Linked DNA regions of Caenorhabditis elegans. The protein of the gene in region 2 interacts with the protein of the main gene of each other region in a pairwise test. Each region holds a gene or a part of one and is shown on either strand. Other genes may lie near its edges. The genes, in order: picc-1, pac-1 and ifa-4.

Evidence for each region.
Region 1: the proteins of pac-1 (region 2) and picc-1 interact in binary tests that used the Caenorhabditis elegans proteins (3 or more experiments, as listed by UniProt).
Region 3: the proteins of pac-1 (region 2) and ifa-4 interact in binary tests that used the Caenorhabditis elegans proteins (3 or more experiments, as listed by UniProt).

Annotation. Positions count from the first base shown.
Region 1 is NC_003283.11:6,017,294-6,021,049, reverse strand, and holds the start of picc-1 (PAC-1 interacting and coiled-coil domain-containing protein 1), read right to left. Parts: upstream 2,057-3,756; 5' UTR 2,045-2,056; coding exon 2,020-2,044; intron 1-2,019. Other genes in the region: aps-1 (AP complex subunit sigma), read right to left, coding at 2,300-2,591, 2,846-2,949, 2,998-3,075; rpt-2 (putative 26S proteasome regulatory subunit 4), read left to right, coding at 3,382-3,544, 3,591-3,756. UniProt on the Caenorhabditis elegans protein: Linker protein which helps to recruit the Rho GTPase-activating protein, pac-1, to adherens junctions.
Region 2 is NC_003281.10:8,492,995-8,496,750, reverse strand, and holds the start of pac-1 (GTPase-activating protein pac-1), read right to left. Parts: upstream 1,642-3,756; coding exon 1,489-1,641; intron 654-1,488; coding exon 506-653; intron 1-505. UniProt on the Caenorhabditis elegans protein: GTPase-activating protein for members of the Rho subfamily including Rac1, RhoA and cdc42 and other Ras-related subfamilies including let-60.
Region 3 is NC_003284.9:4,914,043-4,917,798, forward strand, and holds the start of ifa-4 (Intermediate filament protein ifa-4), read right to left. Parts: upstream 1,938-3,756; 5' UTR 1,935-1,937; coding exon 1,844-1,934; intron 1,328-1,843; coding exon 1,044-1,327; intron 988-1,043; coding exon 703-987; intron 660-702; coding exon 564-659; intron 519-563; coding exon 405-518; intron 357-404; coding exon 183-356; intron 134-182; coding exon 1-133.

The DNA.
Region 1 (3,756 bases), on a different chromosome or scaffold from region 2:
TTATATAGTACGATTTACTCATGGCTAGTTGAAACTTTCACCTGGCGACTTATTCCAATACGACAATGAAAATAATAGGTAGGATTGGAGACCAAGTAGACGTACTAATTTGTATTGAATCTAAAACTTTAGTCGGAACAAACTAGACGTGAGATTTTTGAAGCGGTCAAACTTTCGGTGTCATGGTAAAATGGTTAAGCTAAATGCTTTTTCTAGTTTTCCAATTTAATGGCATATCTGTAGTTAATAAGAACGTTGCATCAAATTTATAGACGTAGAACAGAAGGTATGCCACCACCTGTACCTCATGTTACGTGACACAAATTAAAGATGACTATGTGGTACAGTACCAGTTTCGTGGAATGGCTTCCTGTGAAAACTGTCAGATACGATTTACCACAAAAGTGGGAGGCATTTGTGTAGAATTGGGATTGACTTTGAGTAAATGAAAATGGATAGTCTCGTTCGATTTAGGTGTCGAAGTTAATGCCCCGAATGAAAGAGGAAAAGGTGGATTAGACGATACTTTCATGAGGAACAACAGACAAAAAAAGACAGTGTAAAAACTGAAAGAAAAAGAGATGGTATCTCGATAAAGGTTCCCACACAACTAATCTGATCTTATAGATACATAGAGAGAGGATTACGTCTATTTTATTCAGCGCAATATTGTGTGCACAATAACGTTGCAGAAGAACACATATGACGATAAATAATTGACGTTGGTTAATAGACGTATTCTGACTAGGAAATGAGGGCACCGTCACGTTTCCGGGAAGTATATGCAATAGGAAGACTGTTTCAGTCTGTTCGCACCTTTTACTGGTTGCACCATCTGGGCAGCTGTGTAGCAAAATTAAGTGTCTAATCTGTTTTTAGAGTATTGATAGGTGTGAAAACTTCCAAAAAACTAAAAAAAAAAGGTTACGATTTTGAACTGGAATTATAGTAATTGCAAATATGCTTGGTTCTGTCATCAATTGCAAAATAAAGGTTTGCCAGTAAGAGTACGACCTCAAATTGCAAGTCGTTTGGCGGGAAACAAGAAGTGAACACGGCAGGGTGCCAACATTCACACTTTCGTCGCAACTTGCGAGAACAAAACCTGGTTTAGTTCTGCGTACCCACAAAAACCAATTACTTGTACATTGCTATTAGGAAAAACTATTATCGATTTTCAACATGTGATTATTTTTAATGCACCACGTAAAGCTAATTTAAATCTACCAAGTGAAAAATGGAGTTCCGTTGAATTATATACATTTATTGTTATTACTTGAAATCGTTCTTTCCTAAAGTTAAAAGCAACTGGGAAGCGTTATTTCGAACCAACTCTTTGGCTGATTTTCAAGACTGAAAAAAATAGCGAGGTTTGTTTATGATTTCTAGGGTCTCATGGACTGCGAATATTGAAAATGCGAATACTTATTCAAATAATGTGATGCGTACTTCTGCTTTCTGCCAAGATTTTAGATCAAAAATTAACTACGACTCAAAAACTAGGTGAAAGAACAAGTGTGTGCTGGAGCAAATTGATGGATACTTGAGAGAATGAGTGAATCCGCGCGGAAACATTTCCCGCTGTCTCCGCCTTCACTGCCCTTGTTCAATGTAAAACCAAAAACAATGCAAAGTATAGTGGATGGGAAGAGGAAGAAGTATTGGGCAGAAAACATGAAGAGGACACAAACATCTACTGTACGAAAATGATTAAACTTTGAGAAAACGGAAGTGATCGAAACAATTTTGACTAGTTTAATCATACTTATCGAAATTTCAGATAAATGATATTTTGAAATTCGACACCAACAAGAAGGTGAACATTGTGCTTTGTAATCTAACAAATGACAATTCCGGCAGAGGTGCCAATCATTCCTACATTCATTCCGTTCGAACTGACATGTTACACTGCCAACGTTCGCATATTACCCCCCGTTGAATTATCCTTGAATCCACCTTTCCCCTGTTCGTGTTTTACACTCATGTGCGGGAAACTCGGCAAAATTCACATTAGCTCACCTCGTCTCGGAGTTGTGATAATCATCCGCTTCGAAACCTGAGAAAGTTCAAAACTTTAAAGAAAAAATTGAAAAAAGTGTAGAAATAATGCAAGTCATGCATTGAAGTTTCCTAACAGAAAGAATACATAATGGAAGATTGAAAAATGAATGTTTTCTTCTCTTATTCACATGAATATTATCACAACCAGACACATAGCCAGGATAAATAAAGTAAGGTGGAAGTATTTGGTATTTACGGAAGCTTTCAAAGTCAATAAATTATGTTACTATTATCTTCATTATCCCAAACCGTGATCCTCGAAGAATCCTTGTGGAGTTTCTTCTTCTTGAATGAGATCTTGGGCAGCAATCGCCTTCAAAACTTGTTTTTTACTGGTTTCCTGGATTTCACCAGCCAGTAAAAATTCGTCGAGTATGAAGTAAGCTTTTTCGAAGTTGAAGATGATATCCAGCTCACAAACACTTCCAAAATATTTGTCGAGGAGTTCTACGTAACGATGAATGACTTCCAAAGTGATGAGCTCGTTGTCGTTTTGTTCGATGGCGCAGCAGAAATACAGAGACGCGTATCTGAAATTGTTGAGATTAAAAATTGAACGAATTGTTAAGTTTTTGTTTCATTTATCACAAAAATGTCTATTAAACAACTAAATTTGACGCCAAAATATTTTTCATGAATAAAAAACGTAATAACTTCGGATTTAGGTGTGTAACTATAATTTTCAAGAAATTTTGATTATAAACTTGTAAGTTATTTTCAGAAGGAACAATTTTAAGGCATGACAGGAAATGGGAGTTGTTACTTTTGAATATAAAATACGAACCGTTTGTAGACAACTTTCAAATCCTTGTATTCGAGGAACGCACACATTTTCGGTTTTCTCGCCAGAATTTGAGTGATGAGTTCGCGGCAAATTTTCTTCTTTTGCTGAAAATTGAGTGTGAAATTACACATATGAATAGGAAATACACTTACCTTGTCGGGGTAAGCAGTGTACCATTTCTGCAGCCGCAGTTTGCCCTGGCGACTGAAGAGAAGCATGTATTGCATCATGTTTACTGAAAACAAGAGTATGAACAATCGTTTGCAAACTTTAAAACGCTGAAAATACTTAAAAATCAATTGAAAAATTAGATTTTCTGAATAAAACAGACATGTGGCTTCGTCAATAAAAACAACGAAGCTCCGAAAATACGAAACCGCGCGTTGTTTAGTTCTCACCAGAGCGCGCTTGCATTGTCATCATCAACGCTGTATTTTTTTAAATCATTCTTCGTTCTACTTATTTTATATCTTTCAATTGTTTTCTTTTTCAAACGTGGACTTATTATTTTTCATATAAAATCATTATTTTCTAGAATGGGGCAACAACAGTCAGGTTTCGGTGGAAGAGGAAATGACCGCGGTGCCGGAGATGGAGAGAAGAAGGAAAAGAAGAAATATGAGGCACCGATTCCATCTAGGATTGGAAAGAAGAAGAAGGGGTCTAAGGGACCTGACGCCGCTAGCAAACTTCCAGCTGGTAAGTTTCAATCTAGTGTGTATTTTAACTGATGATTCGGTTTTAGTCACACCACATGCCAGATGCCGTCTGAAGTTGCTGAAGAGCGAAAGAATCAAGGATTATTTGTTGATGGAGCAAGAATTCATTCAAAACCAGGAGCGTTTGAAGCCACAAGAGGAGAGACAAGAAGAAGAGCGCGCCAAGGTGGACGAGCTCCGTGGAACACCAAT
Region 2 (3,756 bases):
AATTGCAGTTTTTTTTTTAAATTCAAACCGATATTTCAAAAAAAAATATTAAAAATAAAATTGTTCTTTTTTATTTACAAACAAAAAAACAAAAATTGATTTTAAAAATTGAATTTTATTGTTAATCTTCTAAACATTTTTTATTCGATTGTTCGTTTTTGATCGGCTCTGAAAAAAATTCGATGGCACCTTTGGTTAGTAAGGAAAAAAATTAAATTTCTTCGACAAAAAACACGTGTAGAAATTATGTTTTGCTGATTTTTTTCTTCAAGATTTTATGAATTTTAAAAAATATATGTTGACATATTTTTCAATAATTTTAAAGATTTACACTTATGAAACATTCGAAAATATCTCGCAACAAAAAATACTTGGGAACTACAGTACTCCTCAAAGGCGCACACTCGCTTGCTTTCAAGAACATCGGAAACTTTGAGACGGTGTACCGTATTTTTTTGGAGCGAAAATAGAAAAATTTTGCATCTGAGTAATAAATATTCCTTACCTGATGGAACTTGTGATGATACATCCACAATATTTGTCGTATTTGCTTTTCTTCTCAACTGTGGCTGATATTGCTGTTGATGTCCATTTGGTGGCATCGCTGACATTCTTGGACGCATCTCACCGAGCAATGCCGAGATTCGAGCATTCTGAAATTACAAATAATTTACTGTTCCAACGAAAAGAAAAAGAATACTAGAGAACGGGGCGGGACAATTGAAATTTATCAAGCTACCGTATTCCGTATTTATTTTTCACCAATTTCGGCTTTTCTCATCGTACAGCACATAAAATCGGATAAAAGAAAATGGGTAATCGGAAAGAAGCAGGAAAGCGCGGAGCCGATTTTATGAAAGATGCAAACGAGGAGAAAAGCCGTGATTCTGACTGCACTGAATCCAATTCTTTATGGCGAAAAAAGGAGAAAATGGTTAATCATTCTGCTTTTTCTACTACCAATTTTACTTAAATAGCTTTCAGAATAGAACGCTAATGGAATCAGGAATTTTTTTTCCATTTTCTGTTTCTTACATTTTACAGTTAATTCTACGAGTAGCGTCAGCTAAACGTCTGTAAAAAGTAAAATTGTCAGAATTAATTTAACAGAGCTCGAAATAGTTATTAGCATTTTTGGTAAATCTTTTTAATACGATATTCCAAACAAGGATGTCGTTTTTTCGATTCTTACTAAAATCGAAAAAATTTTTTTCTTATATCTCGAAAAATAGCTCAATATTTTGGTCATTTTCCCTTTGTTTTAAAGAAAATTGCATGATTTTTTTTAAATCAACATGCACAAAGTATTTTTTTTTTAATTTAATTTTATTGTTAATTTGCTACAAAAAATTGGAAAATTTTCGCTTTTTAATTTTCGATTTTTTTTCTAGATTTCTCGAACCTTGCTAATAATTATTTCAATTCTGTTGTATTTCTTTTCTCAACAAAAATATTTAATTTGAACAAAATGTAATTTATTCCACCAACCTGAGCTAAATCTTCGTTACTCTGCTGCTTAAGTTGATGCTCACTACGTGCTGCTCGAAGAGCCCAACTGCCGAATGCTCCGTCGACAATGTCTCCTCCTATCACCGACGCACGCTCCGCCTTGACATGGAGCCGTCGATGGTGCTCCTCCATCGAGCCGAAACTCTTCTTTCCTTGTTTCTTCTGTTGTTCGTTATGTTTGACGTGTTTGACGTCGTGTGCCGTCTGACGCACACTATTATTATCTGAAAATTGTATTTTTTGTTAGAAGAGAGTAATATAGAGTTTTGAGGAACAACAATTTTATAAGCAATAAATATTCTTGAGAAAGCAAAAGAAAAGCGATCCGAAAAGCATCGTCCAAAATTTTTGGAGGAAATGGAGAAAGTGTAGCAGAGGAATGGGAAACAAAGGAAATATATTATGCATGTTCACAAAGAAATGACCTCGGAGCAGTAGCAATTGAACCCAGAATCCAATTAGAAATATTTTCGTTCCATGATAAACCAAAAACATATATTTTTGAGCTTCTGATAATTCGAAGGTTTGTCTGGCGCGTTCTGACTACGAAAAGGTTACGGCAAGGAATCACGAAACTTTAATCATTATGCTACAAATTTCGATACAATCAAGGTTTTTCATATAATTTACTTTTGATCTACCTGCTGAAGTTCGAATGACGAGGTTGATCAAAAATAAATTGTTTGAACAAACTGTGATAGTATTTTCTTAATAATATTTTTCTACATTTTTATTTAAAAATACAATGAAAAAATTTTTAAACTAGACGATTTAGAGCAATCAATCCACTTTTATGAATTTTGAAAAGAATCTATTTGAGTAAATAGCAAAACGGTACGCTGTGAATACAAAATGCATTATAAATGTAAATGCTATAGCGATTTCACTTAGTTTGAAATTCAAATAATCCGTTGAGCATCAAAAAGTGCGTAGTTGAGGTGTACCGATATACCTTCATTGCAACGGCGTAAAATAACGACCAATAAAATTTGTGCAGGCGTGGGCTGGCACACATTATACGGCAGAGGTGAGGATGCAGATATTCTTCATGCTCAGCTCATAAAATTCAAATCAGGGCACTTCTAGGCTGGGATGCATATGCTTAAAAATTCACATTCGAGAAATTTAAAAGTATCATTATACAAAACCAATATGGAATTTGTCGAGGAAAATGAATGAAATGACAAGGAGGGAAATGAGGAGGGGGGAGAGGAAGAAGTTTTCAACAAAAAACTTGTTCCCACTTGGCAGGGAAATGGAAAGAGGATGAAAAAAAACGCGGACAAAAGCAGATGTTCGAAAAGAAAACAAAAGTAAATCCTCCTTTCTTTTTTTGTTTCTCCCTCATCATTGTCGATTGGCATCTTATAGTTTTACACCCGGATGTGCCATCCAGATGTAGATATTTAGAGAGATGATAGACGAAAGATTATTCAAAAAGTTTCAAATCTCGCACGGAAGATTCTCAGATCTTAATGAGTGGATCAAGAATGTCTCAGAATTTTCAGAACAAAACCAAATAAAATCATTTTATGACAATAATAGAAATGAATCTTGGGCGGATTGAAACTAATTTACAAAGCACATGAGCTGATATCGTAAATTTTGATAATGAGAGAATTCGAAGCGTTTTTCGAATTACAAATTATGGAGAATATTAGGAACCTTGAACGTTAAATGAAATAAGGAACGAGACTAACGACATCTAGAGGACAGCGATTCGATGAAAAGGACACAAGCCAGGTGCGCCAGTGAAGAAGGGGTGCGCGCGCGAAAACGAGGCAAACACGGACGGAAAGACTACGCGAGTTCACCTTGACACGCTTGTCATCATCATCGTGGCCCTCATCTCGTCCTCAGATTCTGATGAATGAGCGAATTATCTATGGTTGTCGTCGTCGTGTACCACACTAACAAGCATCAGTGCCCAACAGTATACTGTCTGTGAGTGAATGTGTGGCGGCAGTGGCGCCCGATTGCGAACGATAATTATTATGTAACCGATTGTGGCGACGATGGGGATGTCGGTAGTATTGTGACTGGTAAGTAGGAAAATAAGAGACTAAATTGGACCGATCAAAACGAAACTACCACATCGAAAATGACTAGGAACACTGCGATGCGATGAAATTGGCATGGTGGTTGAGGTAAACCAATCCTAAATAAGGATGATCAGAAGGGGCGATGGAAAGGATTATGAACCGATTTTTTTGTGTGTCTTGGAAACAATGGACAGATTTGCTTCGA
Region 3 (3,756 bases), on a different chromosome or scaffold from region 2:
CCATCAGGATCTTGCTCTCGTCACGAAGTTTGTTGATCGATGTGTCCTTATCGTTCAGTGATTGTTCATATGATCTCATATCCTCTTCCATCTGGTAGTTGAGGTCTTCGATTTGTTTTTCGAGGAGAAGATTCTGAAATGTTGACAAATAATATCAGATGTATATAGTCATCAAAACGAACTCTTCCTTCTAGATCCGCCATCTTTCCACGCATATCACCAAGTGTTGTGCGGAGTCTCTTAACTTCCTCGCGAGCATAATTCTGCTCCAAGCAGTTGCGAGAATTTTGAGTGTGAATTTCTTGAACCTTCAGCTTGTACCAAGACTCGATGTCAGTACGGGTAGTGTTGCTCACCTGTAATTCAAGTCTCTATTTTTTACCTCTTTTAATGACTTTTCTCACATGATCATATTCGCTTCTGATCTCACGAATAGCAGAGGATAACTCATTCTTGAAATATTCGCGGTTTTCCACCGTAGTATCACGAGATGCCATAGCGAGAAGATCGTGGATTTCCTGAAAAAGACACTCGTTGAAAGCTGTACTAATTGTTTTTCATACCGAATCATGAATTCTGCGAATGAAATCACACTCCTCCAGTAGTGTCTGCACTTGATTTTGATAATCGATGCGGTTCAGAGTTTCTTGTTCCACAGCCTGAAAGCTGTACATATAAATTAAGTTTTCTACTGAAACTTACATTTCTGGCATGATGAAGTGAGTCGATCATACGATGATTTTCGCGCTTCAAATGACCGATGCTTTCTTCCATCAGAGAAATTCTTCTTTTCAATAGCTCAATCTCGGCTTCCAATGCTCCAAGTCTTCCGAGCACATTGTCAAGCTCTTTACGTGTAACGTCAGCACCTCTTTCAGCCTCATGAAGTTTGTTTCTATAGTTGTTCAGCTCTTCAACAAGTTTCTTAATTTGATCTTCTAGCTGAGCTCTTTCTTTGTCAGAATCGGCGATCAGGTCTTTCGCACTCTGAACAGAATTTAAAGTTTCTCAGATTTTGCTGTATATAATATTCATTCACTTACTCTGAGCTCAGTCTCATACATAACTTTAACACTTGTAGAATCGTGTCCCCATTTTCCACGGAGCAAATTCAAGTCCTTCTCCATCTTGCGATTTTGAGCCTCCAAGAATCGAACTTTCTCAATGTAGCTCGCCAGGCGGTCATTGAGTTCACTCATTTCTTTTTTCTCGCGAGTACGAGATTCACGAATGGCAGAGGCGGCATGGCCTCCGAATGGAGACATGCCTGATGTTAGATTAGATCCACCGATCTCTGTGATCTTGAGTGTGCGGCTAGTTCCAGAAGCTGAAATTTGAATTTTTGGAAGTCAGTTTTTGTAGTTTGAAGTAGTTTTTAAACGTGTATCAGAACTGAAAAATAACACTTGACAAACATGACCATAAAACAAAAAAAATTTGTAGGTTTTCCAGAGGAATCAATTCATTAATGTTAATAATTTTTTAACACTTTTTAAATTTTTATTTTTAACTTTACAGTCAAAAAAGTTCACTTAATCATTTTTCACCAATCATAATTTTGGTAGTGAGACAATAAAACATTCCACAAGTTTTTTCTTTTAATTGAATTTTAATTGATTTTATTTGTACATTTTGAAAGTTCAGATCAGCAAAAATGTTCAAAACTTCTCAAAAGGTCAGGGTTGTTGTTTGAACGTTTGGCATATTGCCAATTGAATATTGTAAAACATAAATTAAAACATTTGGAGGGTTTAATTTTAATATAAATCATATAATACATCATATAATACAATTTTAAAGACAAAGTACTGCTCATATTCAAAATATTCATCTGAAAACTCACAAATAGTACTTCCATAGGTGGCGGTGGATTGCATTGTTCTGTTAAACGTTGGTCGAACCGAAATTGAGCTTCGGTATTCGCTCTCCGACATTTCCTACAAACATGGAAACTTAAATAGTTTTCAATTAATTGCATTTTCATAATCGAAAATTAAAAAAAAAACACAGCGAACTATTTTTCGATGAAAAAGTGTAGAAAAGTTACCTCATAGTAAATGACGTTATACATATGTGACAAGAATATGAGTGAATATGACACAGATTAGAGATGGATCGTTTGTAGGACACAATGACAATGCGCGAGATCTATTAGCTGTTTCGAGAGCCCTAACTCTTGACAGAACAAAAAACCGTGTTACAAATTGGCGCGCGCACTATTTATTTTGACGGGACTTGGCATGCGTGGAAAGAGGATGCCTAGGAGGGTTTACTCCTAATTGTCTGTATAGTCAAATTATAGAAGGAAAAAACCAGGCATGAAACAGAAAATGAAACAGAAACTAAAAACTGGGAGAGTGTAACGGTTCATCGAGCTATTGACGAACGCGCACTGACCGCTATTCAAAAGCGGACGGCGGTGGCGACGGCGATTCGGTGACCGATTACTAGATGCTAGCTGCCGTCATGGCGTGTTTATACACAATGCTACTGTTTCACAACGTTTCCATATTCATGAGTATTAAAGGATCGTAAACACCTTATATTATTCTGAATTGTTTTGGTTGTGAAGGGATGACAAAAGATAAGCACGTCAAAACTAAAATCGAAAAATGGAAAAATTTTTAGTATGCGATAAGGGGAGGATAATGGGAATACAAATTGACAAAAATAAGTTCAGAGCATCGAAACTGCGTGTTCTAAAATTTAGGTGAAATGTTTACGACTTGTTAAAAATTCAATGTTCAAAAGGGTCTTAATCTATAATTCTGAAATTTATTTGATTGTGTCTATCTCAGAAACTATTAGCGTTGGGAAAAAGTTCAATAAATAAAATTTAGCTGATTATATTGTCTACAGGTTCAGATTGTTTCAAATCTGCACCCCGCGATCTCGTTCTTAGATAAATCGGCCGACATCTTACAAGTCAGCCTTTGATTATGGTTCGTGATTTACTTGTACAGCCAAAATAACAATTATTAATGAAATTGTTTGTATACAAGTTCATTTTAAAACTGCCAAAAAATTGAAGTTAAACATTTAAAATAAAAACAACACTGAAAAAAAAACTCACGGCAAACGGTCTTCTTTAAAACGGAATTTAAAATTAAAACTTCCCTTAAAATTCAAATCTACATAAAATGTTCTGAAACATAATGCTAAGATGTCTGTTGATTAATGAAACTTATGATTTGTATAAAATAAATTGCATTATCATCAGGAAAAGAGTCATTTTTTCAGTACATGCGAACTTTATTAATTAAGAAACTAGAAAAAAAAACAAACTTTCCTTTTTTGTTTTTAAGTATTATACTAACGTTTAAAAGGAAGGTTGCATTGGAAAAATAGAACCAGTGTCATTTTTAAAAAAGCTCAGTTACAGTACTCCCTTTTAAGGAGACCGTGTCGGACAAACAAACCGTAGGTGTTGCCTGAAATATATATGCAAAATAACACGGAGGCGGAGCTGTTGCCTTCATGTACACAAACGAAACTCGGCCTGTAAAATCAGGGAGAGAAGAAAAAATGGGCGAAAAGGGCGGATTGATAGCGGGTATCAAAACAAACATTTGCATTTTGAGAGTCTCTTTTTAAACATTTTTTTACTTTTTTGCTTTACAATTGCGGGAGGGGGAGGTAGGGAAATAACATATTTGTTGGGTAGTGCATATGAGTCAAAAATTGCACGCAGGTGAAATAGTAAAAATTGAATTTTGGTGAGATTTAAATGAAAATTAAACTAACAACACACGTATT